3 linked regions of the Canis lupus familiaris genome follow. The protein of the gene in region 2 purifies or fractionates together with the protein of the main gene of each other region. This does not show direct contact. Links are inferred from orthologs where the notes say so. Each region holds a gene or a part of one and is shown on either strand. Other genes may lie near its edges. The genes, in order: USP12, VSX1 and WDR20.

The links.
Region 1: the proteins of VSX1 (region 2) and USP12 purify together in Homo sapiens (affinity purification with mass spectrometry; 3 studies listed by BioGRID and IntAct, counting the BioPlex papers as one, with this or other methods). This does not show direct contact. The link is inferred for Canis lupus familiaris from reciprocal best matches to the Homo sapiens genes VSX1 and USP12.
Region 3: the proteins of VSX1 (region 2) and WDR20 purify together in Homo sapiens (affinity purification with mass spectrometry; 3 studies listed by BioGRID and IntAct, with this or other methods). This does not show direct contact. The link is inferred for Canis lupus familiaris from reciprocal best matches to the Homo sapiens genes VSX1 and WDR20.

What each region holds. Positions count from the first base shown.
Region 1 is NC_049246.1:12,492,393-12,502,216, reverse strand, and holds the start of USP12 (ubiquitin carboxyl-terminal hydrolase 12), read right to left. Parts: upstream 6,235-9,824; 5' UTR 6,220-6,234; coding exon 6,010-6,219; intron 3,075-6,009; coding exon 2,994-3,074; intron 1-2,993. UniProt on the Homo sapiens protein: Deubiquitinating enzyme that plays various roles in the regulation of the immune response and inflammation.
Region 2 is NC_049244.1:1,439,163-1,449,115, reverse strand, and holds VSX1 (visual system homeobox 1), read left to right. Parts: upstream 1-3,370; coding exon 3,371-3,791; intron 3,792-5,541; coding exon 5,542-5,620; intron 5,621-6,104; coding exon 6,105-6,228; intron 6,229-7,323; coding exon 7,324-7,504; intron 7,505-8,733; coding exon 8,734-9,101; downstream 9,102-9,953. UniProt on the Homo sapiens protein: Binds to the 37-bp core of the locus control region (LCR) of the red/green visual pigment gene cluster. May regulate the activity of the LCR and the cone opsin genes at earlier stages of development. Dispensable in early retinal development.
Region 3 is NC_049229.1:70,551,625-70,561,442, reverse strand, and holds the start of WDR20 (WD repeat-containing protein 20), read right to left. Parts: upstream 6,650-9,818; 5' UTR 6,581-6,649; coding exon 6,332-6,580; intron 6,188-6,331; exon of another isoform or gene 6,168-6,187; intron 6,026-6,167; exon of another isoform or gene 6,006-6,025; intron 3,418-6,005; coding exon of another isoform or gene 3,229-3,417; exon of another isoform or gene 3,207-3,228; intron 1-3,206. UniProt on the Homo sapiens protein: Regulator of deubiquitinating complexes. Activates deubiquitinating activity of complexes containing USP12. Anchors at the base of the ubiquitin-contacting loop of USP12 and remotely modulates the catalytic center of the enzyme.

The sequences.
Region 1 (9,824 bases), on a different chromosome or scaffold from region 2:
CAGACATGAGAACCATTGAGAGTGAACGGCCATAAAAACTATCATTTGTGAAAATATTCTAAGAAAAAGATAGCTACAACTAAAAATAATGGAAAATAGCTTGTATTAACAATGTTGAGAGTAACCTCTATGCTGAATTTTCTGCTTGTTAATCAAACTGTGGTCTTCTTCTGTCCATTTAAAAAAAAAAAAAAAAAAAAAAGGCTGATTTTCTAACTGCCCAAATACATGTATTATTTCCCAAAGGCAAGTGATAGTGAATGACTATGCCACATTCCAGTCACAAAAAGGGTCCAGACAGGCAGGTCTAATAGGAACTCTCCTAAGTGTAAGCTTTTTGTTAAAAGCAATTAAAATGAACTTTGGAAATGCACACTTAGCTAAGAACAGACTGATAAGAAGAAAATACATCTGTGCCTCACTTAACAAAATCCAATGCTGGAAAAGGTAAACCATAGAGCTTCTTAAGCAGTTACATTCCAGTGTTGTTTCAATAATCATTACCTGACAGGTACAGAGAGGGGGAAAAAATGTTAAAATGTTCATCTCTGAATTGAGGGTACTTAGTACCCTCAAAGCTCCACCCTTCACTTTTTAAGAGACTCCTATAAATAGTGTGATAACTCCATAAATTTTTTTAAAAAGGAAGAAAGGTGAAGGGAAACAAAGAGAGAGAGTGATGATATTTTAAGAGCTGAAAAATAAGACCTATAGAAAAAGGTTAACAGTACAGAAACCAGCTACAAGGTAGCCTGAAAGTCTAAATCACAGAAAAAGTTAATCACTATACTATGCTCAGCTGCATGTACACTCTGACCACCAATTAATTTCTCAATATAATTCAGTTGTTCATCAATCTATCATATCTGGAGCCCTGGCTACCTTAGAGATCTCAATTCTTCATCATAATAACTAGGCACAGAGATCAGAAACTACATTTCTACCTACCAAATGAGTCTCTGGAAGGGATAAAGACAAAGCTTCCTCTAATGGTCTCTTATTAACTTCACTCCCTCCCGCTTCTCTTGGGTTTTACTAAATCTCAGTCAGCTTCAGGGAGAAGCACAAATACTACCCTATTAATTTGGATTGATCCATGGGGAGTAATAAAAATAAAACCTTCTTAGAAATCTTTTTTTTTTTTTTAACACAATTGGCACTGGTATCCTGAAAGTGATATATCAGAGGAAAAAAAATAACGTAACAGCAGGAAAAAATAGACTTTTAGAACTCATTTTATAATAAGATTTTCTCTAGCATGTTGTTTTAGTTGTTCTGAAGGTCAAACAACAACCTTCAATATATAAAATACTCCAGTGCTGAAGAAAATGGACTCTTCTGAGACACTATCAACGAGCACACCCTTCCTACAATTCAAGACACACATTAGCTTTAGAGCATGAACCAAAGTAAGGGTGGGAGTCACAGGGAAGTAGTTTATGAGAGTGAAGCAGCTGGGGTTTGGCCACTGCCAGAAGTTACACAAGGCTTCTGATCACTAGACAACTGGGTACGTAAGTATAAACATTTTAAATATCTGAGGTAGAGGTCAGATCATGTTAAGCAAGGGAAATTAAAGATATTCAATTAACTCCCCTTCTCCCCACAAAACACCAATGATAGTGAAAGAATAAATTAAGCAAAAATTAAAAGGCAAAAAAAATGGGGGGTAGGGGTAGAGGAGTACACCTAAAAAACACAGGTATGGCTGTCAAGCCTTTAAAAGGGTCATTTAGACACCTAGATATGTAACCTTTCTTTCAACCACAGGTTTAGTTTCCCAGAAGCTGCACCTGCAAGGGAGAGTGTGATTCAAGAGCCCTTGAGGACAGCATCAAGGCATGGAACAGAGAACAGAGGGCTCAACAAAACTCTGAACCAAGCCACCCCAAGACTGAAACTGAAGAAGCCTACCCTCTTCCCCCACTTCTGGCACCAAGTAACAGTCCCAGAGGAGATGCTCCCGCCACTGCTTTTGGAGGGTGGTGGGGGAGGAGGTGAAACTATTACTAAAGCCTGCTGCCAAGGACATGGAAAAATAAAGCAATGGTTAATTCCATACCGGGAGAATGGGCAGGGATGGTGGTAGGAGAGAGTTTCTTACCTACCATAACAGGAAGTTAGGAGACTGTTTTTAATAGCAGCATAGCCACTTTATTTAGAATGTAGGGGTAGATTCCAGGAAAAATAGCCAGCAGAGGAATGCAGCCTCCTCTGAGGAGGGGCACTGTGGATTCTGTTACAAGCTTCATACTCCCAAGCTGACTTCCAGGGCAAGGGGAAACACCCATATCACTTAAACCACTTTCCTCAAATCGCACAAGAAATCCATCTCATACGTCACAATCTCATACGTCGCAAGTAACACACTGGTGTGTTCAATGGAACTTAGTCACCTGTATTATCACCTCTCTATATGTGGTTTAAAACCCTCACCATGGATCTACCTAACAGCACAGTACAACATAGATCTATGGTGTGCACCAATGATTCAGAAAAGAGTTAAAAATTCTAAAGAAAGTTCTTTCAAAGTTTAAATGATGTATAATTACTAGAACTACCTCCACAAGGACTGGGGATGTATCTTTTTCCTAAATTTTGCACTCATATATCTATACTAGTTGAACAATGCCAGAAGTGGATAAATACAGACACATAAAGGCATTTATAAAAGTTTATTTATTATACTTGTACATTCGGATCACTTACATTTAGACATTTACAGAATTCTCAAAGATTTAGGAGATCATTTGGTACAAGCCATACAAAATTTTGGCTATGAAAAATTCTAACACAAAATAGGAAAAATCAGGCTGTCAGGTCAGAAACTGTTCTAAAGCTCTTAAGACCTCAGGCAACTTTGTTTCCCTTCCATTGAAAAGAGAATTTCAAAACAAGTTTCTTGACATTAAGTCTACTGATACAAATACACAATACTCTTAAAAACTCTTTCCAGTGATACTGGTGAAGGCTAAATACCAATTGATACTTACATTGACTAATCCAAAATAGTGCTCATTGACTGGAAACTGTTCTGGACCAATCTCTTTCTCTAATGCCGAGGCATTGGCGCCCTATAAAATAAAATAAAAAATAAAAAAAAAACAAATTTTAGTATTTGTAGTGTTTCCATAAAATTTTCAGTTACATAGGCATTATAGAGACATCCTTTAAAAAACTGTTTCCTCTAACTCCCTAACATTACTGAAAGAAAAAAAAAAAAGGATGACAGTGAAGAACAAAGGATTTTTTTTTTAAGATTTTATTTATTCATGAGAGAGAGAGAGAGACAGACAGACAGACACACAGGCAGAGGGAGAAGCAGGCTCCATGCAGGGAGCCTGACATGGGACTCGATCCCGATCCAGGTCTCCAGGATCACACCCCGGGGCTGAAGGCGGCGCTAAACCACTGGGCCACTTGGGCTGCCCAAGAACAAAGGATTTTAATAATATGACTAAAAACTAGTTCACAAGAATTTCCTCAGGAAACCAAAGCATGGATGGAGAAATTATATCTATAATGTGTTACTTTTTTCCTAGGTAATGGATTAAAACTGCTGCTGCATCATGTACTGTAACAGGAGAGCTGAAACCAAGAATGTAGATATTCAGTGACCAAACAATTCTCTGGAGGTATATGCCTGAAAAATCCCCATATGGAACCCAACGTGCCAAGAATGTTGTGTGAGGTAGCACTGACGACTGCATGGCTGACAACCATCTAGAGAGTCTGTGTTTTATACACAACAACATACTATGCAGAGTCAGCATAATGGAATTAAATTTACATACAAAAGCATGACTACTTCTCAAAAACATGTTAAAAAAAAAAGAAAAAAATGAGATTAACCACATATGTTAAAAAAAAAAGCACACGGCAAATGGGCTGAAGAATGTACATTAAGCATACTTGAGTGCATGCTGAAAGAGGCCTGGGACATGAAACTGCGAGTGAAGGACAAAAAAGGAAAAAACTAAAATGAAGCCGAACGAAAGAAGGGCCTTGCCCAGAAAACAAATCGTGTGTCCTGGTCTCGGGAATACAATTGACTCAACTCTCTGCACTGAGGTTTGAAAATAAAGTGAAGGCTGGGGGCAGGCGTGAGGGTGGGGTGCCCCCATGCACTGGCACATGACACTAAATGGTCTCTAAACACAGCTAGAAAGGAAAATGACACAACTCTGAAAACATGAGAATTCTAGATGTGTTTACTTGAAAATTCCCAAGAAAACATATCACCAGATACATAAAACTGATATGGTATTACTCACAACATACCTCAAAACCACTCTGCAGAGTTATACACAAGACAACACGCACACTATGCCTCTCCAAGTCACCGACATGAGGTTCATACCACCTCCGTGCTCAGCCCACTCCTGTTGTTTCCTGACTGAGCTCCACTCCTGGACTTGGGAAGCCCAACCTTTGTTAGACAACATATCCTCAATTTCCTGATTATAAGTACTGATTAAAGGGACCTGGTGGATTGGTGGCCCAATTCTACCAAAACAAGATATTTCCTCTAATGTCCTCCAGCCATCCAGCATGTGTATATAAACATGATACTGCCTTTATTTTTAATTTCAGACTTATTTTAGGTTTTTTACAAAACCTTGATATAACTGCTAATATTTATACCTAATTTGGCCTTCCGCCGTTTTATACCAACATCAAATTCAATTATTAGAGTGACTTCAAGATCTACTGGAGAAATCTGTCTTGGTGGGAACATGGCAAGCCCCACTTCCCATCCCTGCCACCTCAAGTTATCATGTCACAAAATTTTCTCCCATACATTGAAAGGTATCAATGAACTCCAATGTTTACCACCTACTATAAGGATTCAAACAGATATTAGTTTATTCAAATAAGTATTACCCCTTCCCCACAACAGGGAAGAGGATGAGGGAGGGAATGGGGGAGGAGGAAGAGAAAGAAAATACAACCTTATTACATCTATTTATGTGGAACAGTAAGATTCCAATACACATAACTCAGGAAAGTATTTCTGGCTTTTAGGATGAACAGAGTAACATGTGAATATTCTCTCTCTAGTATAATACCAAACATACCACAGACCATGTATTCTGTCCATCCCAGAGGACCCAATTAGCCCCCTATACATCATATACTTTCATGCACTGCTTAGATCCTCTAGCTGCCCTGCATCCTCAAGGTAATTTGACTATGGATCAAATTATTAGCTTCTCTGCACCTCAGTTTCCTAACTGTAAAAGGAAAATATCACCAAATACTCCATAGGATAGGTACAAATGAATGGAATGAATGGAATTTAAACCTCTGTAAAAGCATCTGGCACTGCCTGTTACATAAGCTAAACAGGTGTCCCATGAATGTTGGTTCCCTTCTCAAAAGTCTGAAGGAGAAATGAGATAGCCATCACCAAAAAAACTGATCTCCTCACTCTGGGCAATTCCACCAAGCGGCCCAGTACAGTCAAGTCACTGTACTCCCCAAAAGGCTAACAATAAAGCGAAACCACAATCCAATCAGAGGTGTGGGAAGACTTCACTCTGAAGTGTGATAAAATGGAAACTGCCACAAACCCTATTCATTTAACCCTTCTGATTTAAGAAGCTTCATTTGCAAAATAAAAGGGTCAATCTCCTCACTGATTTTCAAAAACCCAAGCTCCAAGTTTATGTGTTGGGTTTTCAAGTAATCCTTTGCCTAAATTAAGGTTTTCACAGTTACGTATGTTTAGAAAATTAAGACTCGGTAATTTTTGAAGTCTCTTCTAATTCAACATTTTAACATTACCAATCACTTTCACCAATATTTCTGAGGACATTTACTATATAACACAAAACTCCATGGAAGTCCAAATCAAACAATTAATGCCCAAAACACAATTCAACAGGGAGAGATTATAGCAATAGATGGAGTAAGGATAGCAGCTCCAAACAGAAAGTACAAAGAGAGAATGGAATTTACTTTAGGACCATTCTAAATTAAAGTACAGCATAGTAACATATACCTTACCATGATAATGATGCTGTATAGCAGACTCTGTGAATGTGCAGGAGGATATTTCCTATGGCATGAATTCAAGATTTTCAGCAGAAACAATCGAAGTGCATCTCTACTTCTGGCTGAATGCGAACTACAAAGGCAAAGAGCAACTACGGAATTCAGTTTCTGATGACTGGTTTTCAACGCTAGAGTTAGATATAGCTGGGGAAAAACAGCCATCAAGCCAAAAGTTGGCTGTATAATTTTTAGTATCTTTACAAGAGTTCTCAATGTCATCCCTTGAAGATTTGGTTGAAGGCTGACAAACTCTATCATGTCAAATAAGGGACAACCAAGCACTCTTCAAATTTAAATTGACCCCAATATCCGATAGTAATGGCTCTGAACAATTCTCCATCTCTACACTTGAGAAATATGATCCTACTACAATTAACAGGGGTTATTAAATCAGTGATTTTTTTACCAGGATAAAGGAAAGAAATGGTGGCATGCTCAGGTAAGAATTTCTGCTCCAAAGCTTTGATAGGTATCAGAATTCAACTGTGTTGTAGGAGTATGTGACACAGGGAGAAGGAAGAAGACACTCTTTTTTAATTGTTCTGTCTCTATTTTTATAACTTACACAAAAGATTATTTAGACTCAGTATCTATTACTAGAGAATTCATCTTAAAGAAGCAATTAGGTATTCATGACTCTCTTGATGAAAACAAGATGGATGAATTTTAATATTAAAAAAATAGTAATTGATGGAGCTAGTGAGAAAATGAGGAATCTGCAGAAAACAAAAACCAAAATGATGGGAGCACACTGGGAGATATGGCAATGCCAAAGAGGTTTCATTTCACACTGAGGGTATTTGTCAACATGAGTGACCTTTACACTCTTTTCTGGCAGCTGAATGAAATGGAGTGCAGGGAACGAAAACAAGACGAAAGGAAGGCCAACAGAAGACCTGAGCTTGAAAAAAGACCTGGATCTTCATGTCAGGGTGAGCAAGAAATAATCCTGTACCACAGAGGAGGCAGCAAGGAAACATGCCTGACATGTCCTTGGCACTGAGGATGGAGGATAGCTTCCAAAAATTCATAACCCCAAGTTGACCCTCATGAAAAACTATAACCCAAATCCACGCAAGCTGTATCATCCTAAACAAAACCGCCCAAGCAGATAATGTAATTCAAAGAGACCCTGAGTTGATGGTGCCCTCTTTACCCCACAACTAGCAGAATTACAAACTAGCTCTGGAAGTTGAAATTAATCCACCCCACCAAAAATTCCCACAAATAAAACTCCAACAGATTTGAGTTCACAATCAAAACTCATATACACACACACACACAAAACAATAGGAAAATAAAGCACTATGAATAAAAGCCAGCAGAAGACGACAGTAGAATTGGACTCTCAAGATATTAAATATCAGAATTATTTAAGACACAATATAAAACAAATGTGCTGGAATCCCTGGATGGCTCAGCGGTTTAGCACCTGCCTTCGGCCCAGGGTGTGATCCTGGAGTCCCGGGATCGAGTCCCACATCGGGCTCCCTACATGGAGCCTGCTTCTCCCTCTGCCTGTGTCTTTGCCTCTCTCTCTCTGCGTCTCTCATGAATAAATAAATAAAATCTTTTAACAACAACAACAAAAAACAAATGTGCCAAGAAACAACAATTGCTTGATCATAAGAACAAAGAGAAGACTCTAAAGCCTAAGCAGATTTTTAAAAAGAACCAAATCAAACTTCTAAATATAAACATTATAATAATTGAAACTAAAAACTCAATGATAACTATGGAAGGCAGTAACAAAAATTAGAAGCTGGGAAGAAGTAGGGATGAAAGAGCAAAGCACAGAGGATTTTTAGGGCAGTGACAATATTCTCTAAAATACTAAAATGATTGTTCAGAATGTATACCGACAGTAAACAATAACACAAACTATGGACTTTAGGTGATCATGATGTTTCAAGGTAGTTCATCAGTTACGACAAATATACCAGTCTGGTGGGGGATGCTGATAATAAGGGAAGCTATTTATGCACACGTAGGGGCAGGGCTATACAGGAAATCGCTGCACTACCTCTCAAAAAAGAGTCTTAGTAAGATAAATTAATTGAGTCAGAAAAAAGAAAAAACTCAATGGCTGTGCCTAAGAAACAAGATTCATAGTGGGTAATACTTAATAAGTATATACAACCCTGAGATCAAGACCTGAGCTCAGATCAAGAGTTGGACGCTTAACTGACTGAGCCACCCAGGCACCCCTAGGTAGTATTTTTTAGTCAATATAATGCTAGTAATTCAAACTGACATTTTATTAAAAATAGGAAATGTTTTACGGAAAATATTTCATGGAAGAATGAGTCAGTTGTGGAGCTGCTGTAGTGAGACCACGGTACACTATTATGGCACTGACCTAGCAAAGCTACAGACGTAAGTCTGGTCCTGGCCTTGCCACTAACTAGGTGTAACAACTTGAGGCAAAATGCATCTCTCTCTGGACCTCGGTTATCTCGGATGTAAGACCTCAAAATCTATAGTACTTCCCATCCCCACATGTCTAGTAATGTGTGAATCTATTGGTTCTTGTGATCTCATTAAGACATTAAGGAAAAACAGGTGGATAATCTATTAAAGGTCAAACATTAAATTCTGAATAAAAGGACATATTATCACATCCTCAGAAACACTCATCCAATCCAAGAATTTGCAAGCCATGAAGTGCCTCCTTAAACCTACCTACTATGAATTCTTAGAAAGTACAGCAACTTTCTTTTTCATGACAAAAAAATAACCATCCAAGTGAAAGAAGAGTAACCTGAAACTATAAGGATGCCTTTGATCTATCATTTTGAAGATACCATCTGCAAACAGGAAAAAAAGAAAATAACCCAGGGGAAGGCTGCTTCTGATTAAATCATTTTATATGGTCAATCATGGAAGCCATGCCTGACAGCCCTCCATTCTGCCTTTATGAGGAAGACAGACAACGCAATACATTTGAGCAAGAATAAAACATGGTAAATTGTAAAAGGATGAATATCTACTACCTAGAAAATATACTTATCAAGAATGTCTTTTTATACTAGACAACTGTAGTGAACTATTAGTTCCCAGACTTGTTTAAAACAAATATGATAAAATACATTTTTCCCCACTCTCATATTTCAAATCATATCTACAATCCAGTGTTTACCATTCCAAGTGTAACACTGAAGGGTCACACCAGGTCAGTACCCAAAGGAGAACTGCCAAAACAGGCAGGAAAGGCTTCCCGAAAAGGAGACAATCAAGTGACCTTGGGAAACTAAGAAAGTTCTGGAGGAACAGGAAGAGCCCATGTGAGGATATGAACACAAGAGAGACGAAGGGTATCTGAGCAGTGAAAGGATGAATTCAAAGTACAGAAAATACAAGAAGCATGAATCTTAAACAAGAGAATGAAGAACAGGAAGGCTGGAAGCCCACACCTGCTCTCCTGGCAGACAGCATGTCCCTGAAACTGCATCAGAGACAACAAAAATGTGTATAAAAAATCATTCCTACAGGCATCATAAAAATCATCTCAAAGCAGTAGTCCTTTATAAAAGGTGAAATTCACCAACATTCTGAATACCTACCTTCTACCTAACCCTGCACAAAAAGTTATAGAACATGACTGCCAAATTGTAATACCCACTTAGTGGATAGTGAGATTAATGTGGTGGATTTAACCATTTGCTTTTTAAGTAAAACAGAAAAGATCATGGTATGTCTCCTTACAAGTAAACAACAGTTTGCAAAACTTTCGTTCCAATAATTAAGTATGTGTGTATTAGGTCTAA
Region 2 (9,953 bases):
GGGGGGGGGGGACACAAAAGCAACAGAGAAGGAGCAGCCAGAGAGGCAGGAAGAAAATCAGAGGAGGAAGAGACCCACAGGGCTGTTCGCGCGCTCACATGAGCCACATTTTATTCACCCGTGCCCGTTCCTCTGCCAGCCTGGCCGGGCGCCTCCTCAAAGCCACGGCACGTCTCGGTGGAGCCACTCACACGCTGTCGGGTGCCAGCAGGGCGCTGAGTGGAGCCGCAAGCGCAGGAGGCCAGGGGAAAGGGGGCGCACCTTCCAGCTTGGCCCTCCACCCGGGCGGGAGACCTTCCCTGGAAAATAATGAGCGCAGAAATCCTTACTGATTAGTTAAATCCCGGATAATCCCGGCTGATGAAGACATATCCGGACCCCTTCACAGATTTAGGGTTCCGGGACCACTCCCGGGGGTGACCCGGGGCTCGGAGGGCTTGCAGGGGGCGGGGCCTGGGAGGAGCCTCCCGTCCACCCCGCCCCGCGCCGAGGCGTCCTCCCACCGCTTGCGCCCACGCGTAGACCCGCCTGTCGGGCGTCGGGGACTCGCAGGGTGAGGGCCGGCGCGGGGACCTTTTCCAGTCTCCTAGACTAGGGACGCGCTCTCCGCACTGGGCGGCCAGTCCCGCTCGCTGGGCGGCTTTCCCATCCCCGGTGCCCGGCCTCGGGGCCGGTTCCTCAGAGCTCCGGCGCAGGTCTGCAGGTCGAGTCCGCCGCCGCAGCTGGGCGTGGGAGTGGGGACCAGGCAGTGGGGCCCGAGGCGCTGTTGGGGAGGAGACAGTGCGAGTGTGCTCGGGCGCTGCGCTCCCGCCACTGCCACTCCGCAAAAAGGAGGACGGCCTGGTTCCATCCATCTGTCCAACCCGGTCCCGCAGGCCCCTTCCTGCCTGCAGGTGGAGCGGAGGAGGCGTTAGGGACGCTCCGGAGCAGGAATTGCAAGCTCCCCTTGGAGCTCCAATTCCGGCCCCCTCTGCTTTCTTTCAGCTTCGCTTTCCCGGTTTCTCCATCCGTGTCTGGTGTGACCGGGGGGAATAAGCCCCAGTTTTTCACATCTGCAAAAGAGATTTTTTGTAAGATCCTTCCGAAGCGGTTGTTAACCAGTGTGCTCTTGGCTCTGTGCGGCGGTCCCCGTGCGGAGTGACCGAAGTGGGGCTCCTCCCGCCTGGCCTTTTGGTTCCTCCGGATTCCAGGCCACCCACTTGAGGCCGGTCCTCTCGGGATCACCTGCCTCCCCTGGCAGCGGTAGGGGACGGAGACTTCAGGATCCTAGCGTAGGCGAGGGGACGCGGCCACTGCAGCCTCCAGCTTCCGTGCGACCTTCTCCTTGCGAGTGACCCTGCTCGGGCAGATGGTCCCGCCTGTCTACCCCGGACTTGGTCTGCAAAATGTGTGGATCGTTAGGTGTCTTTCTAAACTGTGGTCCCAAATTCTTAATTACAAACGACTATTCTGCGGGACAGAGAGCTAGAGCACCTTGGCTGGGTCCTGGACCACCAATACCTCCTTCAAACCCAGAGATGGATTTGGGGAGAAATCCCCGGCGGAGCCAAAAAAGACGCAGGCATGTAAAACCGCCCCCTACCCCGAGCGATTCAAATGACAATTATCCCAAAGGAAACGTATTGTTTTGCTAATACCAGAAACAGCTTGTGTTGGGAGGGGAGAGTTGGGTCCTCCTTTAATAATGGAAAGTTAAGGGGATCCCTGGGTGGCGCAGCAGTTTGGCGCCTGCCTTTGGCCCAGGGCGCGATCCTGGAGACCGGGGATCGAATCCCACGTCGGCTCCCGGTGCATGGAGCCTGCTTCTCCCTCTGCCTATGTCTCTGCCTCTCTCTCTCTCTCTCTCTCTCTCTCTCTCTCTCTGTGTGAGTATCATAAATAAATAAAAATTAAAAAAAATAATGGAAAGTTAATGCGCAGCCTGCCGCAATTATCTTTATCGGAAGCCCCTCTTGTAATCTGCATGTTTAACTGAGGACCCACGCAAAGGTGCAGCGAGCCGGAGACCCACTTTTCCGCGCTCGCGCTCCTCTCCAGCGCGCGCAGGGAGCCAAGCAGAGTCCAGGTGGGCTGGGAGTTGCCACCTCCCTCGCTAGGTGACCTCAGGCCGCCCGGTTCAAGGGGAGGGACTGAGGAGATTCTATTTCCAGGATTCTGTTTGGGAAGGGTGGGCTCAGGTTTTCCAGCGATTCGGGTTGAGTGGACTCAAAAATTCCGGCGTGTGAGCCTGAGCCAGGAGTGGTTTACTCATGTGCTTTGTTTGGCGCCAACTTTAACAAATTAGGGAGTTTCACAGGAAAATCGGGTTTTCTCTGAATAATCATAAAATCTGACAGTAATTTGCTTCCGTGAATAGGGGTGCCTCCCAGTAGGCAGTTCTTATGTTCCAATTTACTCCCACCCGATTTAAAATTGCCAAATGAAATATTGATACATTCTTATACTAAAAATATATTCATTGTTTATCTGAAATTCAAATTTCACTGGACCTCCAGTACTTTTGTTTACTAAGCCAAGCACTCTTCCCGGTAGTCTTAGCCTGGTCCACTATACATCTGTCTTTCTCTCCTCTTCTCCTCCCCCCAGCTCTTGTGAGTTTTGCACCCATTACAGCTCAGCCGTTAGGGAGCTGGGGGTGACTTTGGCTGCAGGTAGAGTGGGAATGGATTAAATAAACATTTTCCACTCCATTCCCCTTGGAGATTTTCAGGGAAGTCTTGGCTCTGGGGGTGGAGTTGGAGGGCTGGCCTGTCTCACATTAGTGGTAGTGTGGCTGGGAACGAGGTCCTAGTCCTTTTAAAAAAATATATTTTTAAAGTTTTATTTGTTTAAGGAATGTCCACACCCCACCTGGGGATGAACTGAGGACTGAAGATCAAGAGTTGCATGCTCCCTTGATTGAACCAGCCAGGTGCCAGGAGGCTTAATGGGTAACTGGATCTTGGGAGGAGGCTCTGGAGCAGCTGTGATCAGGACTTCTTCTAGACAATCTGGAAGGATAAGGAAGACCACACCTCGGCCTGTAATATGCGGCTTTTAGAGAAACCTGCAGACAGCAGGGTCGTCCCCTTCCTCCTTTCCTCTCTTCGAGAAGGGTGTGTGTGTCGGGGGGAGGGTGGCTGGGGAGTGGGCAGGAGGACAGCTGGATGGGAGAGAGAAGGAGGTGATTGAGGGGACTGCAGCTGGGAGGGCGGCGACTTGGGGGAGGGAAACGGGTGGCGTCCCCATCTCGCAGCATCCGAGCCCCACTGATTGGAGCCCTCCTGGCCTCCGCGCCCGACGGCCGGTCCAGGAGTATAAAGCATCCTCTGAGCTGCGCCACTCGGCAAACGTGACCTAGAGAAGGTCCGGCCTCGCCGACTGAGAAGTCATGACCTACAGGGCCGCGCTTTCCGACGGGCGCCCCGGGAGCAGGGCACTAGTGCCCGGCGGCTCCCCCAGCGGCTCGCGCCCCCGCGGCTTCGCCATCACCGACCTGCTGGGCCTGGAGGCTGAGGTGCCTGCGCCTGCCGGCCCCGGTGCAGGATCGGGTTGCGAAGCCTCCGCCGCGCCCTGCGCGGGCCCAGGTCTCGGGGGCGCCTGCCTGGTGCGCGGGGCCCTGCCACTGGGGCTCGGCCTTCTCTGCGGCTTCGGCGCGCAGCCTCCTGCGGCCGCTCGGGCGCCCTGCCTGCTCCTAGCCGACGGGCCGTTCCTGCCACCCGGGGCGCCCGAATCTGCTGCCCCGCAAGCTCCAGGTCGCCCGCCCGCCACGCTCAGCAGCCAGAAGAGAAGCGAGAGCGTCTTGACGTCCGGTAATCAGGCCAGCCCATCTGGGTCTTGCTCCTGTTTGCTCGGCTTGGGGCCGTGTACGGGTAACTCACTGAGCCCGGTCCCTAGCATCCGGATCTAAGGGACGTCAGGACCCCAGAGCGTGGCCCCGTCCAGGGAGGCGTGTTCTCTCGGCCTTGCTCCCTGCCCCTTGTCTCTCCCCAAATCCCTGCCTCCCCTCCGGGTTCACCGGAGCACAGCGAATATCACCACCCCCCAGTTCTGGACCTACCAAGCGGGTCTCCTGAGGGCATAGGTCGGGGAGGCCGGGGCGTGCTCGTTTCTCACGAGCACAGCATCCAGGAACTCGCGGCGCTCAGAGCCAGGCTGGATCCACAGATGGAAAAGCACGGGCGGCCGGGGGCTGGAACTGTCCGCCTTCTGGGGTGCTGAAGGGGGAGTCGGGACTGCGCTTCCACTTCGCGCTGCCCTCCCTCCTCCGCACACGTGAGAGGGGAAGCAGCCTCGCCCGTCTCATTGCGCTGTGCTCAGCATTTCGTTCCGACCCCAGCTATTTCCTCAAAGACGTCGAGGCGGGTTATGGGGAAAGAGAAGGAGGCCATGAAGACTTTGCAAAGAGCAAAGTCAAAGAAATTGAGAGGTTTTGGGCTCGTGGATGAAAGAAAAAGAATTATACAAGAAAACGTGGACTGAGAAACTATATTGTAGAACCTGGAGCTGAGCATCCAGGCAGCCAAGGCAAAAAGAGAGTATATTGAGTCTCCACTGATAGTAAAAGTAAGCATGTCAGATCAGCAGGCAAGCAAACTTTTACTCTACTTTAAAAAATGTTTATTCAGGAGTCTCTGTGTAAGAGAAAATGAACCCTTCTATTAGTAATTTCACTAAAAATGCAGAAACTGCCCTCATAGGATGGGTTCCTTCCTCTGTGAGCACTGATAAAATGAAAGGCAAAATATGACTAGATCTTGTCAAGAGTGAGTTTCCTGGATCCCCTCCCAGAGACTCAGAATTGGTACAGCCGGGCAGGGAGTGCAGTTCTGGCAAGAGTTGTGATGTCAAACCTCAACTCCCACCCTGCTTAGAGAAATGTTGGTGTATTGGTTAAGATGAGGGGTTGCAGGTAGAAGGAGGTGAATGAATTTGGGAGCTGGAAGCTAAGTGAGATAGAGAATGCTATGAAGCTTCACGGAATCTAGGTGTGGATCCCAACCTCACCACGTACAACCTGTGTGATCTTGGGCAAGTTACTTAATCCCTCTGCACCTTAGCTTCCTCATCTGTAAAAATAGGATAATACTAGCAGCTACTGTGGAGTTCTTTTTATTTTATGAAGGATAACTGCAATAATGCATGGACAATGCTAAGCAGAATGCCTGGAATATACTGAGTGCTAAAAATGCTAGCATGTATTATTAAATAGTCACATCCCCCAACACATCATAACTTCAGTCCTCATATTGAAATCCAGAGAAGAAAGTGAAAACTCTGCTCACTTTTAAAAAAGATTTACTTATTTACTTGAGAGAAAGAACACAAGCAAGAGAGGGAGAGAGAATATCAGGCAGACTCCACATTGACTGAAGAGCCCAACATGGGGCTCGATCTCACAACCCTTGGATCATGACCTGAGGTGAAACCAAGAATCAGGGGCTCAGCTGACTGTGCCACCCAGGTGCCCTGAAAAATATGCTCACCTTTAAAAATAGTTTTTTAAAAAATAAAAGATAATGTGGTCACCTTTAAAGTGTTCTCTCTCCCCTGTGCTAACAGATGAGGACAGCCCATCTGAAGATAGGAGTGGCCTGAAGGCGTCCCCATCTTCAGGCAAGAGGAAGAAGCGGCGGCATAGGTATACAGCTAGATTGTCTTTCCTGACCCTTTGCTTAAGACACAGACTCTGAGAACCTATGGTGCTGCATTAAGGCAAGGCCCTGTGGCCTCCTGGCTGACACACAGCAGCAATTTGGGAACATAATTCTGCTATTCACAGGAGGCTACAGGATAATCTTTCTAGCATTTTATTTTTTAGTTTAATTTAATTTAATTTTATTTCTAGCATTTTAGAGACACAGGTTTGTGTACCTTTAAAATAGACCTTCTTAGTATTAGTTGATAGAATTCATCAAGGAGGGAAAATATGCTAAAGAACTCTGTTTTGTTTGAAGCAAACTTCTGGACTTTCCAGAGGCTAATCATTCAGAGGTGAGATATCCAGTTACCATGAGGTGGACTTTTAGGGTGTAGAAAGGCAGGCACAGGGTCTTCTAAGTCTGGGAAGCCTGGCAGCCTCCTGTGGACATGCACTCATGTGTGTGCTTCGGGTCTCCCTACAGGACTGTTTTCACTGCCCACCAGCTGGAAGAGCTGGAGAAGGCATTCAGCGAGGCCCACTACCCTGATGTGTATGCCCGGGAAATGCTGGCCGTGAAAACTGAGCTCCCTGAAGACCGAATACAGGTGTCTGGGGTCCCCTTTCTCTATCCCAAAGACATCACAGAGAACGTGTTTTTTTCACATATACACAGCTACCTCTGAACAGCCTAGCATGTTTCCCTTGACACACGAACTGCAGCTCACCTAGCTGAGGGTACCACAAATGCTAGACTCATTCTGTATGTTTATTCCAAGAAGATATCCCCTGTACCCTGCATGTCTTTTTTCCTTTGTTAATTAATTCTTTAAAGTTGTAACCATCTCCATGTCATATATAATTGGCCCTGAATATGTTTATATCTATCTATATCTATATCTATATCTATATCTATATCTAATCTATATATCTATAGATATATGTACACTGACACAGAATTTTGTTCTTTGTTTTTACAAGAAGGTATTGTGTTATGCTTCTTAGCCTCTTTGCTTGACAAGACATCTTGGACATTTCTCCAGGTCAAAAGATAATGCCACCAACTCTTTTTTTTTTTTAAATTTATGATAGTCATACACACACACACAGAGAGAGAGAGAGAGAGAGGCAGAGACATAGGCAGAGGGAGAAGCAGGCTCCATGCACCGGGACCCCGACGTGGGATTCGATCCCGGGTCTCCAGGATCGCGCCCTGGGCCAAAGGCAGGTGCTAAACCACTACGCCACCCAGGGATCCCCCACCAACTCTTTTTTAACAGCTAATCAATATTCCACATTATTTCTTTATTAAGATAGTATTTTCAAAGAGAAATATTACTAACAAACCAACAACCTAAGATTACAAGGGACCAATGCCAGTATGAACTCTTTCCAATCAATGAGAAAAATCATGAAGCATAGTAGTCCACTTTCTTACACAATGTGGGAAAGAATACTTTGATTTTATTTTTGTTTTTTCTGGCTGTATGGAAAACCTCAGTGGAGGCCGATTGCACATTATCTTCACAATGATAAGTACCTGTGGGTTTTGAGTGACTGGTAGACACAGCTTCTGTAAGGTCTGGGACTTGAATGGATAGTTGGCTGTTCTTAGAACTCCTTGCTCAGGAACACCTAGGAGCTTCCTCTTTACTGTGTCTCCTCCTGTATACTCTTCTGCTTCCTGTCCTGCCTCACATCAGGTCTGGTTTCAAAACCGGAGGGCCAAGTGGCGGAAGCGGGAGAAGCGCTGGGGTGGCAGCAGCGTGATGGCCGAGTATGGGCTTTATGGGGCCATGGTGCGACACTGCATCCCACTGCCAGACTCCGTCCTTAACTCCACTGAGGGTGGCCTGATTGGTTCCTGTGCACCCTGGCTCTTGGGTAAGGAAGAGGACCCTGCAGCCAGTAAAATGGCCAGAGTTGCTGGGGGAGGGGCCAGGGTTCCCATGAAGGGCAGCCATTTGCTAAATCCAATCAATATAAATTTACTCAGATTTGGGCCCAAAATATCACATTGATTTTAATTAATTCAAAGGATTGAACTATGGTCAGTTGACTTGTTTTTTATTTGCACTGTGTAGACAGTGTGTGGAAAGATCACACCAGGCCTTGGTTCTAAGAGTGGAATGATATACTTGTAATATGTGAAATATATTTCCAAAATGTTGAGTGTGGTTACAACTTTTGGGAACCATATGATTTAGAGCTCATGATAATAAGAATGAGGACAGTGCTAAGCAGTGAAACTTGTAGGTGATTAACCCCCTACATACTAGAGCCAGGAGATCCAGGGTTTGGGTCCTGGTTCTGCCATTAACAACCTACTTTTCTGTCTTTTAGACTTTTGGTGCTAGAACAGTCTACATGGGTGAGGCTTAAGCTTTGGGGCTGGACATTCTGGATTTTCTGTTTGCTGTTACTAGAGACTAATGGGCAGGGATCACATCTTGGAGGAATGAGTCCAAGATAGCACCTGGGGTAGGGTGAGAGATTAGAGTTAGGTGTGTGTGTGTGTGTGTGTGTGTGTGTGTGTGTGTGTGTGAGTGGGCTTGTAGGTTGGTGAGGGGAGGTTTTTTGTTTAGCAGACATTTTTAAGAACCTACCAGCCATTTGCTGTGCAGTCACTAGAGATACCAATTATGGATATGGTCTTGACTTTGCCCTCAGAGACTGAAGAGACAGAATTTTGGGCAGGGAACCAAGCCTACCCTTCTGAACTTCCACACGCAGGTTAGGTGTGAGATATCTGTGCTTACTGGTACCTGCAGACCTGTGGCCCAGTGCTGCCAGACATTTTTACTTTCAAACAAGCTGAAAGTCTGGCTTTTGATGTGCGATCTCCTGATTTTAAAACATTGGCAGCAATTACATTTAAAAAATCACTACAATACCAAACAAGGCACCTTTGAAAGCTGCACTCCACAGGCAGATAATCAGATTTCAACCCCAAGTGGGGGTAGTTACCTACCTGGCTCCTCTAGAGGCCCTGGAAACAGGCACTGATGAAGATACTTCTAATGGGATTTAGAGAACAATGACAAGGAAGAGATTTACAAAATTGCTGAATTTGGAAATACCTATTCTTATTTTTTCTTTTCATTTTTTGCAAGGGATGCATAAAAAATCTACAGGGATGATAAGGAAATCAGGAAATGAAGAAAAGCTGGCAGGACTCTGGGACTCAGAGCACTTCCAGGAAGGTTCTAACCCAGGACAGGCAGGATCCCAGAAAGGCTCAGATGAAGCCAGCCCTGAGAACAGCTTGGAAGATGTGGCCATGGATCTCTCCAGCTCTGCCCGGCAGGAGACCAAGAAAGCACACCAGGCTGCCAGTGCCCAAGGATGCTCAGACTCCTTGGGGCTGGAGGGGTTTCCAGCCAGGAAAGGTGGGAGCCTGAGGAGACCACAGTACCCACCCTCAAAGGCTGGCAATGCACTCATCCCTCAAGACATTTTCCACAAGACAAAAGTTGTCTAAGACCAGAACTCTCAGCTGGATTTTCTTCTTCCAGGGTCAGGATACAATGCAATACCACTTGCTTTAAGAAGACAAAGTGGTGACTTACAGAAAATACCATCTCACTCTAGAATGGAAACCATTCCTTAAAGTCACCTGAACCAGCTAACTTCATGTAAAATTTTACTTTTCCTTTGTAGAACATGAGAAGGGAGGATTGAAAGTTCAAAAAGCATGTTTACTGCTGGACTTCATCTGTGATTTTGCTCAATATACTGTGCAGATTAATAGGTGAAGTCTGATGTCCTCACTCTGAATTTGAAAATATAAATTTATTTAACCTCCAGAGAATCAGATGTCTTTATAAATAACAAAGACCCCATACAGACATATAAATGAATTACAGTATTTTTATCTTAAAAGTTGGCTTTGGACATTTCAATTTTCTTGTGCGGCAATACTTTTGCATTACCCCAAGTGTCATTTCATAGGCTGTATATATTGGAACTCATAAACAAGAAAGAAAGCCATACTTTCCCTTTCCTTCTGAAATAGCATGGGACCATGTTTAAATAATTGTTCAATACCTATAAGCAGTGTTTTAAGGTCAGATGAGTCTTCTTGGTCTTTTAAAATTTATATTTGAAAGCACTTTAGTGATTGGATTTCATGAATGTTTCCTTCCCTATATTCTTTTGCCATTTATTTATTATTTAAGAATAAATGTTGTGCTGTGTGTTTGCTTCTCAGGGTGCTCCTTCTGTTACATGTTTATACAACTCTACTATCACTGATCCCCTAATGAAGTTCCTTCCCCACGCCTTTGGCCCTTTTAAATCTCAGAATATCTTCAGGCTGTAGCACGTATCATGT
Region 3 (9,818 bases), on a different chromosome or scaffold from region 2:
GTTTTCTTGAGGGCAAAAGGCTTTGTCTATACCCAGCATCTAGAACAGTATCTCTTATCTGGTAAGCATGGCCCTGAAAATATTTGCTAAAACAATGACATTCATGAGTATCTCATGGATTTCACAGATATATTGTGAGAGCTTATCATTGCTCATATCCATCCATTCTGTTCTTCAAAATTTCATCCTCCTCCTCCTCTTCAAGGTCAAGAGACCAAGGTATCATATAAAAGTTTCTCTCGCCTGCTCTTAAATGATGAGGCAGATAAGGCAGATTAGTATACAAGATTTGACAGCCAAATAACTAAGCAATTATCAATATTTCAGAAGATATTAAGTAATGTCTTCTGAATGGAAAAATGTTTCCATTCAACTCCACATGTACCCTACTAAATATAGTACAAAATTTCTCAAAGTAAATTTGATATAAAAAATCCTAATCGGGGATCCCTGGGTGGCGCAGCGGTTTGGCGCCTGCCTTTGGCCCAGGGCGCGATCCTGGAGACCCGGGATCGAATCCCACGTCGGGCTCCCGGTGCATGGAGCCTGCTTCTCCCTCTGCCTGTGTCTCTGCCTCTCTCTCTCTCTCTCTCTGTGACTATCATAAATAAATAAAAATTAAAAAAAAAAAAAAAATCCTAATCGTCCACGCCTCTTTCTAAACTAGAAATAGGGAGCAGAGAGATGTGACAATTACAAATGGAGTCAAAGTTGTGAACAAGACATGACCCTCTCTGGAGAGGTCAGTAGCCAAAACTAGCCTGTGGGAAAAACCTTTGAAAGGCTTCTAGCTCACCCCCCCCCCCCCCAATGAATTACTCAGTCACCAACAGGTGGTCCTGAAGTCTTTGAGAAAGAGACAGACTACCTCCACATAGAACACTCATTCTCTCCCAAGTCAACCCATTGCACTCCTGGATAAACTCTGGCTCTGAAAATATTTTAGCTGTTATTATATGACTCTTCTTCTCGCCCCAGCTTCATGTCAACATAGTGAGTACAAAGCTTTTTCTAGTATAAAGACCTAGAATCACAAGTTCTACTTGCTTTCACAACACACCCCACTCCTCAATTCCCATTGAGTAGGCAATGAATACAAGACAGGAAGACATCTTCCCAATAGAAAGATGGATTTATTTTCATTAAAAAACTTGAGCACAGACTCCCACAACCTTAAGAGTTGAAAAGGCCTTGGAAGCCATCTAATTCTACGCCCCTTCTTCCTCCCCCCTGCCCCCACCATTGTAGGAATTGCTCCAATAACATCTCTGGGCAACACATTTCTGTCCCAGAATCTTAAGATGGGAGAGGAAAAAAAAAAAGTAGCCTCTTTGATTTGAATGTTAAGTAATTCTGCGTATAGTTTTTAAAAGTTGTCTATTAGAGGGATCCCTGGGTGGCGCAGCGGTTTGGCGCCTGCCTTTGGCCCAGGGCGCGATCCTGGAGACCTGGGATCGAATCCCACGTCGGGCTCCCGGTGCATGGAGCCTGCTTCTCCCTCTGCCTGTGTCTCTGCCTCCCTCTCTCTCTCTCTGTGTGACTATCATAAATAAATAAAAATTTAAAAAAAAATGAATAAATAAAAGTTGTCTATTAGAACACAGATTTGAGGGCAGCCTCCATGGCTCAGCAGTTTAGCACCACATTCAGCCCAGGACATGGTCTGGAGACCCAGGATCGAGTCCCTGCGTGGAGCCTGCTTCTCCCTCTACCTGTGTCTCTACCTCTCTCTGTGTGTCTCTCATGAATAAATATATAAAATCATTAAAAAATAAAAATAAATTAAAAACCCCATAAATTTTGATAGGTAATATGTTGTGACAGAAATAGATTAAAAGTAACGTGTCATTTGGTTACTTTCCATTACTTCATGGTCTCTTGCTACACAATTTCCCAGTTGTAAGAAAGCTAAATTTGTTACCTACTAACAATAATTTTAAAATGTCTTTACAAATGGGACGCCTGGGTGGCTCAGTGGTTGAGCAGCTGCCTTTGGCTCAGGGCATAATCCCTGTCCCAGGATCGAGTCCCACATGTGGCTCCCTGCATGGAGCCTGTTTCTCCCTCTGTCTGTGTTGCGTCTCTGCCACTCTCTCTGTGTCTCTAATAAATAAATAAAATATTTAAAAAGCAAAATGTCTTTACAAAGATGTGAGCCACTAAAAATATCCATTATTTGGGAGACCAAAATTAAATAGGTTATTTGGCTTGAAGAGATCTTTTTAAAAGTATGGCATATGGGGTGCCTAGGTGGCTCAGTCCATTAAGCTTTCACTCTTGATCTCAATTCAGGTCTTGATCTCAGGGTTGTGAGTTGAAGCTCTGCGATGAGCTCCATGCCCAGCATGGAGCCTACTTTAATTAATTAATTAATTAATTAATTAAGAGTATGGTATAGATGGACACTGATGCTTTACCCATTCATTCACCCAACAAATAAATAGTAAGGGCCTACCTCATGCCAGACACTCTGCTGGGTGCTAGGAAAACAGTGAAAGCAGAAAACACATGGTCTCTCTTCTAAGCAATCTTTGTTTATAGAAGAGACAGATTATCACCCAGAGAATTACAAATTGAGAAATGTGCTAGAAAGGCAAAGTTCAGGATGTTATGAGAATATGAAGGAAAGTTGATCTAGCCTGGGAATTCAAAGCAGGATATGCTATGGAAGTGACATTTAAGCTGAGATCTGAATGGTGGCCATTCACATTTATATAAAAACATCTCATAAAATGAAAGCACTGGTCCAATAAACCCAGCTACCTTTGGCATCTTTATCCCAAAACAACCTTTTTTTTAAAAAAAGGAAGGCCAAGTATTCTATAAGAAGGTTTAAAGGCTAAGAATTGATAAGTTCTTTGGAGAGAGGGATAGGGTCATACTCTACTGTAGATACCCCACCTTGTATAATTATTAGCATTATAGTCACTCAAATATTTGCTGAAATGATTAACATATTAAATCAATGCTCATATGGGACCCATGGGTGCCTCAGCAGTTGGGTGTCTGCCTTCAGCCCAGGTCGTAATCCCAGGAACTGGGATCAGGTCCCATATCAGGTTCCCCGTGAGGAGCCTGCTTCTCTCTCTATGTCTCTGCCTCTCTCTCTCTCTCTCATGAATAAATAAATAAATCTTTTAAAATAAATAAATACTCAGATTATCTTCAGGTAAGCAAAATAAATTCACAAAACTACATGTCCTTACACAAGTAACTCCATCCCAAACTTCAACTGTGAAAAGAAGATGCTTTCTTGTACCTCACAGGAATGCTATCAAGATTCGATGAGATAATAAATGGCAAAATGCTGGGGCAGATCTTGAAATGCTTGGAGGATATGGCATCCGTGCGATCAAAAAGCTTGATCAGTCCCTTCTCACTATGACAGCTCTTTAGATTCAGTTGTGCTTCATTTTCCTGACCATGAGAAGAAAAAAAAAAAAAAAAAAACTGTAACACAGGTTACTCCTTCTCTAGCCTTGGTTTTCTGGAAAAGGGTGAAACTGCAAAACTCAAAAGTCCCCTCTAGCTCTAGAAACGGACTTGCACATCTTTTTAAAGGGCCAAGAATACACTCCTTGACTCACATTTGAGACTACCTCCTCATTCACTCCACTCCCTCCATGACTCCATACTTCCCTTCAGGAATGGCAGCACATAGTTCATGACTTAAGTTTTTCAGGTCGCCTGGGTGGCTCAGGGGTTGAGCGTTTGCGTTTGGCTCAGGGCATGATCCTGGAGTTTCAGGATCGAGTCCCACATCAGGCTCCCTTCAGGAAGCCTGCTTCTCCCTCAGCCTGAGTCTGTCTGTCTCTCTCTCTCTCTCTGTCTCTCATGAATAAATGAATAAAATCTTACAAAAATAATAAAAATAAAAATAAATGACTTAAGTTTTTCAAAGACTTACTTTTCACTTATTTTACATTTAAATTGAATGTATGCATCCATATTAGACCTTCTGAATAATCCAAATGATTGTTGTAAAACTCTGTATGCCCCAATGAAAAAAAAAAACTAATAAAAACAGTCAAAATGACCAACTGTCAAGAAGAGAGTTATAACTCCTAACCTCAAAAAGTAAATTTCGGTTTCCTGAGTAAGAAAAACTATCTGCTCTATTTTAAAATCAAAAAAGACAGTCTTAAAAACAAGCACTTATACTCAAAAATAACAATAAATACATGCAAACTCTTTCATGGAAAACAATTTTTCTAAAAGAATTACAATGGCTAGAAGAGAACTAAAATGTCCACCATACAATGCTATGTCACTGCATGTAAATGAAATTTTACCAAAAAAAAGTTAGCACCCAAATAAATTATACAGCTAAAAAGAAATCTACATATTTAAGATTTGTCTTGTTTAAAATAATTTTGGAGTGTGGTTCTGAAAAGCTCTCCTTGTTTTAACCTTCGTCAAATAGCATCCCACTACGAGAACACAACTATGATACTTCCAAGCAAGAGATCTGTTTTATGATGCAAACCAAGGCGACCAGGTCCAGATAAGGTCTGCCACTAGAGAATGCCTCAGAAATAACACACTTTCAAAGAAAACTTTCTTATAAAAAAGGTAACGTCGAAACTAGTAACTGTTGGTAAATTTAGCTATTCAGCACGTTTAAAATCTTATACAAGTGTTAGTAACTTAAAATTCTAAACTTATTTCCAGAGAAAAAGTTGATCCTTTCAGTCCTCGTATAAATGGCAGGATAGCAGCTTCCCGTGTGACAGTTACTCTTAATGCTTATTTTAACTGTATTTTACACCTACCAAATATTTCAGGCTTTAAAGTTCATTACAGCTATTATATTAAAAATTACAACGTGAGTACTGCAATGTTCACTTTTTAAAGAGGAGCAGATTGGAATTAAAGAAACTCATCCAAAGTCACCCAACAAGTCAGCAAAAAAGTTGAGAGCAGTACTAAAACTTCAGCTCCTGGACTACTAACTACTTCACACTTTCCCAGTTCCAAAAGAGAGAGAGAGAGAAAAAAAAAAAAAAAAAAGAACTGAAGGGAATTACTTTCAGTAATAACACCATGTCTCAATCACAGTAGAAGGCTTATCATGAACACTCACCAAAAAAAAAAAAAGATGCACCTTGAACAAATGAGACCGCTTGCTACCTCTGGATACTACTGTCCCGTCCTAGTTCTTGAAACCAAGCAAAAACTTACTGCATCTGGATAGATTACATCCTAGAGAATGTTCGCTCTTCAATACGGGCAATGTGCTTTCGCACTAACAACAACAACAAAAAAAACACTTGTAAATGAACGTTGCCACCTTTCTCCAGGCTTAGGTACTGTGGGGACACATCAATTCCAAGTCAAAGACCACCTCTCAAAAGTAAGCAGTACTCAAGGAGAACAGAGTTACACAGCCAATAAAGGAAAAGCTCTAATAAGTTGCTTCTTTCGAAGAGATATTTTTAAAGGATGATTACATGCTTCACAGAATTAATGTTAAGTCGCCCGCCAAGGGGAAAAAAAAAAAAAAAAAAAAAGGATTCTTGTAAAGTAGCTTTTAAGGCATATCCCTCCCTCTTTTGGGACACAGTCTGACTTGTTGGACAAGAATGATCCGGGCACGCTGACACAGAACCCCTATGAACCTAGCTTAGATCACTGAAAACATCACTTCGACCTGCCAACTATAAGTCTTTTCCGTTCTGTAAGGGCCAAAATGACCCCTCTTAATCTCTCCGGAGAAGGTTCTCCGGCAGAGAAAAGTGACAGCCAGTCCTCCTTCCGAGGTTTCTGGGGAAAGTGTCAACAGCAGAGAGAGAGGCTCCTAGGAAGTGTCAGTGCGGTAGCAGGTGGAGTAGCCCCCGGTGCCGAGCAGGTCCCTCCTGACCTAGTCTCCAGTCCTCCGCTTCCAGCCGGGATTCCGCCTTGCAGACCTTCCCCAGCCGCCCGGCGCCCCCGTTCCCACCCCGCAGCGAGGCTCCCAACTCTCCCGGGAGGCCAGGCAGTCTAGGCAGACGCGACGGCCACCCCACCTCTTCCGGGGACTCGCAGGCCCGCTCCCTGGCCGTGTCGGAGCCCGACGGACCCTGCGAGGGGGAAGGCAGCCGGCGCCCGGTCGGGCCTCCCGGACCCAGCCCCGCACCCCGCGGGCCCCTCCCACCGCCCCCACCCCCTGGCAGCACCACCGTCCTTACTCGCGAATCCCCCTTCCCCCGGAGCACCCCAGCGGAGTTACCGGCCCACTCCGAAGTGCGAGCGACCGCCGCCCCTACCGGTCACCCCGGCCCCCACTGTCACCACCCTGCTCGCGGCCCCCGCCCACGCCGCTGGCGAGCCCCGGTGACGCCCGGGTCGGTACCTTGCGGACCCCCTTGTAGATATAGAAGTAGAGCTCCCGGCCCACATTGAAGCAGAGGCGGTCGCCGTTGCCGGACTGGTCGTTGAGGTTTACGAAGGAGACGCGGACGGGGTTGGATCCCTGCGAGTTGAAGGGCACCCGGTTGGGCCGGCTGTACTCCGAGTGCGGCAGCAGCTTGTACAGACCTTCCCGAGTGGTGAATTGGGTCTTAATCTCGTTCATCTCCTTCCCTCCTCCCTCCGTCGCCATCTTGGAAAGCAGCGTTCATCCTGCCCTAAGTGCCCGGATCACGCCCACCGCGCAGGCGCCGTCCCTTCCCCCCGCCCCCCGCCTCTCCCTCGTGGCCCCGCCCACCCGCGAGGCGGCCCCGCGGAGGCCGGCCGAGGGGCAGGGGCGGGCTTGTTTACGGCCGCACTGCGCAGGCGCGCTCACCTGGCGCGCCCGGCGCGGCTGGGCGTCCGCAGGCCCCGCCCCCGGGCGCGGCCTCGGGGCGGCCCCCGGGCGGTGCAGGTGAGGCGGTAGGCCGCCGCCTCCGCCGTCTCCGCCGCCTCCGCCCCCGCCGCGGCTGCCTCCGCCGCCGCCGCCTCCCCGCCACCCGCCCCGCCGGTGAGCAGACGCCGCGGCGGGGCTGCGGTCGCGAGCGCAGAGGTGACCTGGAGCGGCCGGCGCAGCCCGGAGGAGCGGAGGGAGAGGGCCGCGCCCCCGTACGCGGTGGGCACGTGGGGAGCCCCGGCGTCCTGCCTCGGGGCACGGCGGGGGCTCCCCGAAGCTGGGGGCCGCTGCCCCGCGCCAGCCCGCACGACGCTCGGGGACCCCTCCGCGCCTCCCCGAGCCACTTTCCGAGAAGGTACCGAGGGCCCTGAGCGCCCCGCGTCCCGGCGGCGGGGGGGCGGGGGCAAGGGGCGGGAGCGCCCTGGACGTGGGTGCACACGTGGGTCCTGGCGCGTGTCTCTGCAGGTCGGCTCTCCGGCGGCCTGTCGGGCGAAGTAGGTTGTGCTGGCGCTTCCGCTGCTTCAGTGTGTCCTCTCCAGGTGTTTGGAGCAAAGAGGGAGCGTCGGGTCGGGCAGCGGCTTTCGGAACCAGAGACCCAGGGGAAGCCCGAGGCTCTATTCTCATGCGCAGTAGCTTGACAATTAGAGGCCACTGGTGAAAAAGAAAAAAATTAAAAACCAGCTCAAGTGGGACCTGCCAGATTGCTACGCAGAGTTGTGTGCATACGCTATGCTAGATGTAGATGTGGAAGGACAGGCGCCCGGGTCGAGGATTAGACAGTCACTATCTTACAGCTGGGTTTCCTTGGCAGGTTGCACATAAAGTTTCTAAAGCGACAGAAATTTCCTGGGAGAATTACAGGGTGGAGGAAGCCGACGTTTGTTACACCGAGAATGAACTATGTCTTTATTGAAATTAAAAAAAAAAAAAGAGGTTATTTATTTATTTGTGAGAGACGCAGAGACACAGGCAGAGGGAGAAGCAGGCTTCCTGCAGGGAGCCCCGACGTGGGACCCGATCCGATCCCGGGTCTCCAGGATCAGGCCCTGAGCTGAAGGCAGGCGCTAAACTGCTGGGCCACCCGGGGTGCCTCCCGCTTTTTAAGATTTTATATATTTATTCATGAGAAAGACAGAGAGAGAGAGAGAGAGAGGCAGAGGGAGAAGCAGGCTCCATGCAGGGAGCCCAATGTGGGACTCGATCCCGGTACTCCAGGACCACACCCTGGACTGAAGGCAGGTGCTAAACCACTGAGCCACCCGCCTGCCCTGAACTATTTCTTTAAATTCAAATCATAGCTGGAGGGTCGCAAAATTAGTAGATGGAGGTAGAGGAGTCCTGAATCACAAACATCTTATGTATTACAAGGCAAGTAGGTACTGCCAATGATGTAACAATGCCTTTGACACCAACATCCTGTATCCGTTGTTCGTGTTGGCAAAAAAAAAAAAAACACTAGAGCAAAGTCCTATTTAATTAATAGACCCCTAAAATAGCTACAGTTTGTGGTTGTAATTGTTTTTATGTTCTCTGCCTTTCTCTAAAAGTCAAATAGATATCAAAAGTCTTAAAATTGCCAGGATGTGTGCTGCAGTCACCACAGATTTATTCCAATTTCCTAAGTTATTTTACATTGAAAATACATATTTATAATGAGACCCTTGAGGGATAGTGACGTCTGGAATCCTCTAAAAATAATTCAGGTGTGGGCACCTGAGTGGCTCAGTTGGTTAAGTGTCTGCCTTCCGCTCAGGTCATGATTTCAGGGATCCTGGGATGGAGCCCTTTCTTGGGTTCCTTGCTGAGCTGGGAGTCAGCTTCTCCCTCTCCCACCCTTATCCCCACTCTTGCTCTCGCTCATGTCTTTCTCTCAAATAAATAAAATCGAAAAAATAATAATTCAGCTGTGTTCCCTAGTTATCAAGAGGGGGAATAAAGCATACTTTTTTGAAGAAAAGAAAAAGCTCAGCAAGCAAAAATTAATACAAATTTTATTAGCCTTCAATTAACCATAATTAACGACAATTAATAATACCTCAGGTTTTCTGTTAAGGTTTTATTCTATGTAAGTTCAACATATTATCACAATAATAGGCTGTCCCTTTTGTCCTATTCAGAGCTTTTCAATAATATCTTTTTTTTTTTTAAGATTTTTTTATTTATTCATGAGAGACAGAGAGAGGTAGAGACACAGGCTGAGGAAGAAGCAGGCTCCCTCCAGGGAGCTCCATGTGGTACTCGATCCTGGAACTCCAGGATCACGCCCTGAGGCAGAGGCAGACGCTCAACCACTGAGCCACCCAGGCGTCCCAATAATGTCTATTCTTAATATGTTTTTCTCTCGTTCCCACACACACTCTCAAGGATTCAATAATAACACCCAAATTTATATAACAGGACCTGACCTAAAAACAGTTCATTTCTAATTTTCTCTGTCAAGCCAGGCGTTTCTGAATGGGTTGGTGCCTCACAGTCATCCATCTCTAAACCTGATCGTTTCCTTTCCATTCTCAAACTTGAATCCTTATGTAATGGCTTCATGAATGATTTCCTTGATTTTAGTTTTTCTCTCAACTTTCCTCCTGTAAACATCTACCAAATTAATTTTTTAAGCAGTACCTTAGATATTATATTCTCTTACCCCAAGACTCTCAATGACTTGCAATAATCATATTAAATTAGCAATTCACAGCCTATTCTTACATATTACATAAATCCCCCATTCAAGTCAAACTGTACTCCCATCACCCTTAGTTCCTTCTCTGGCGTAGAAAGCTATTCCTTTCCTTTCCTCTTTTTTTTTTTTAAGATTGATTTATTTATTCATGATAGATATAGAGAGAGAAAGAGAGAGGCAGAGACACAGGAGGAGGGGGAAGCAGGCTCCACACCGGGAGCCCGACGTGGGACTGAATCCCTGGACTCCAGGATCGCGCCCTGGGCCAAAGGCAGGCGCCAAACCGCTAAGCCACCCAGGGATCCCCTCTTTCCTTTC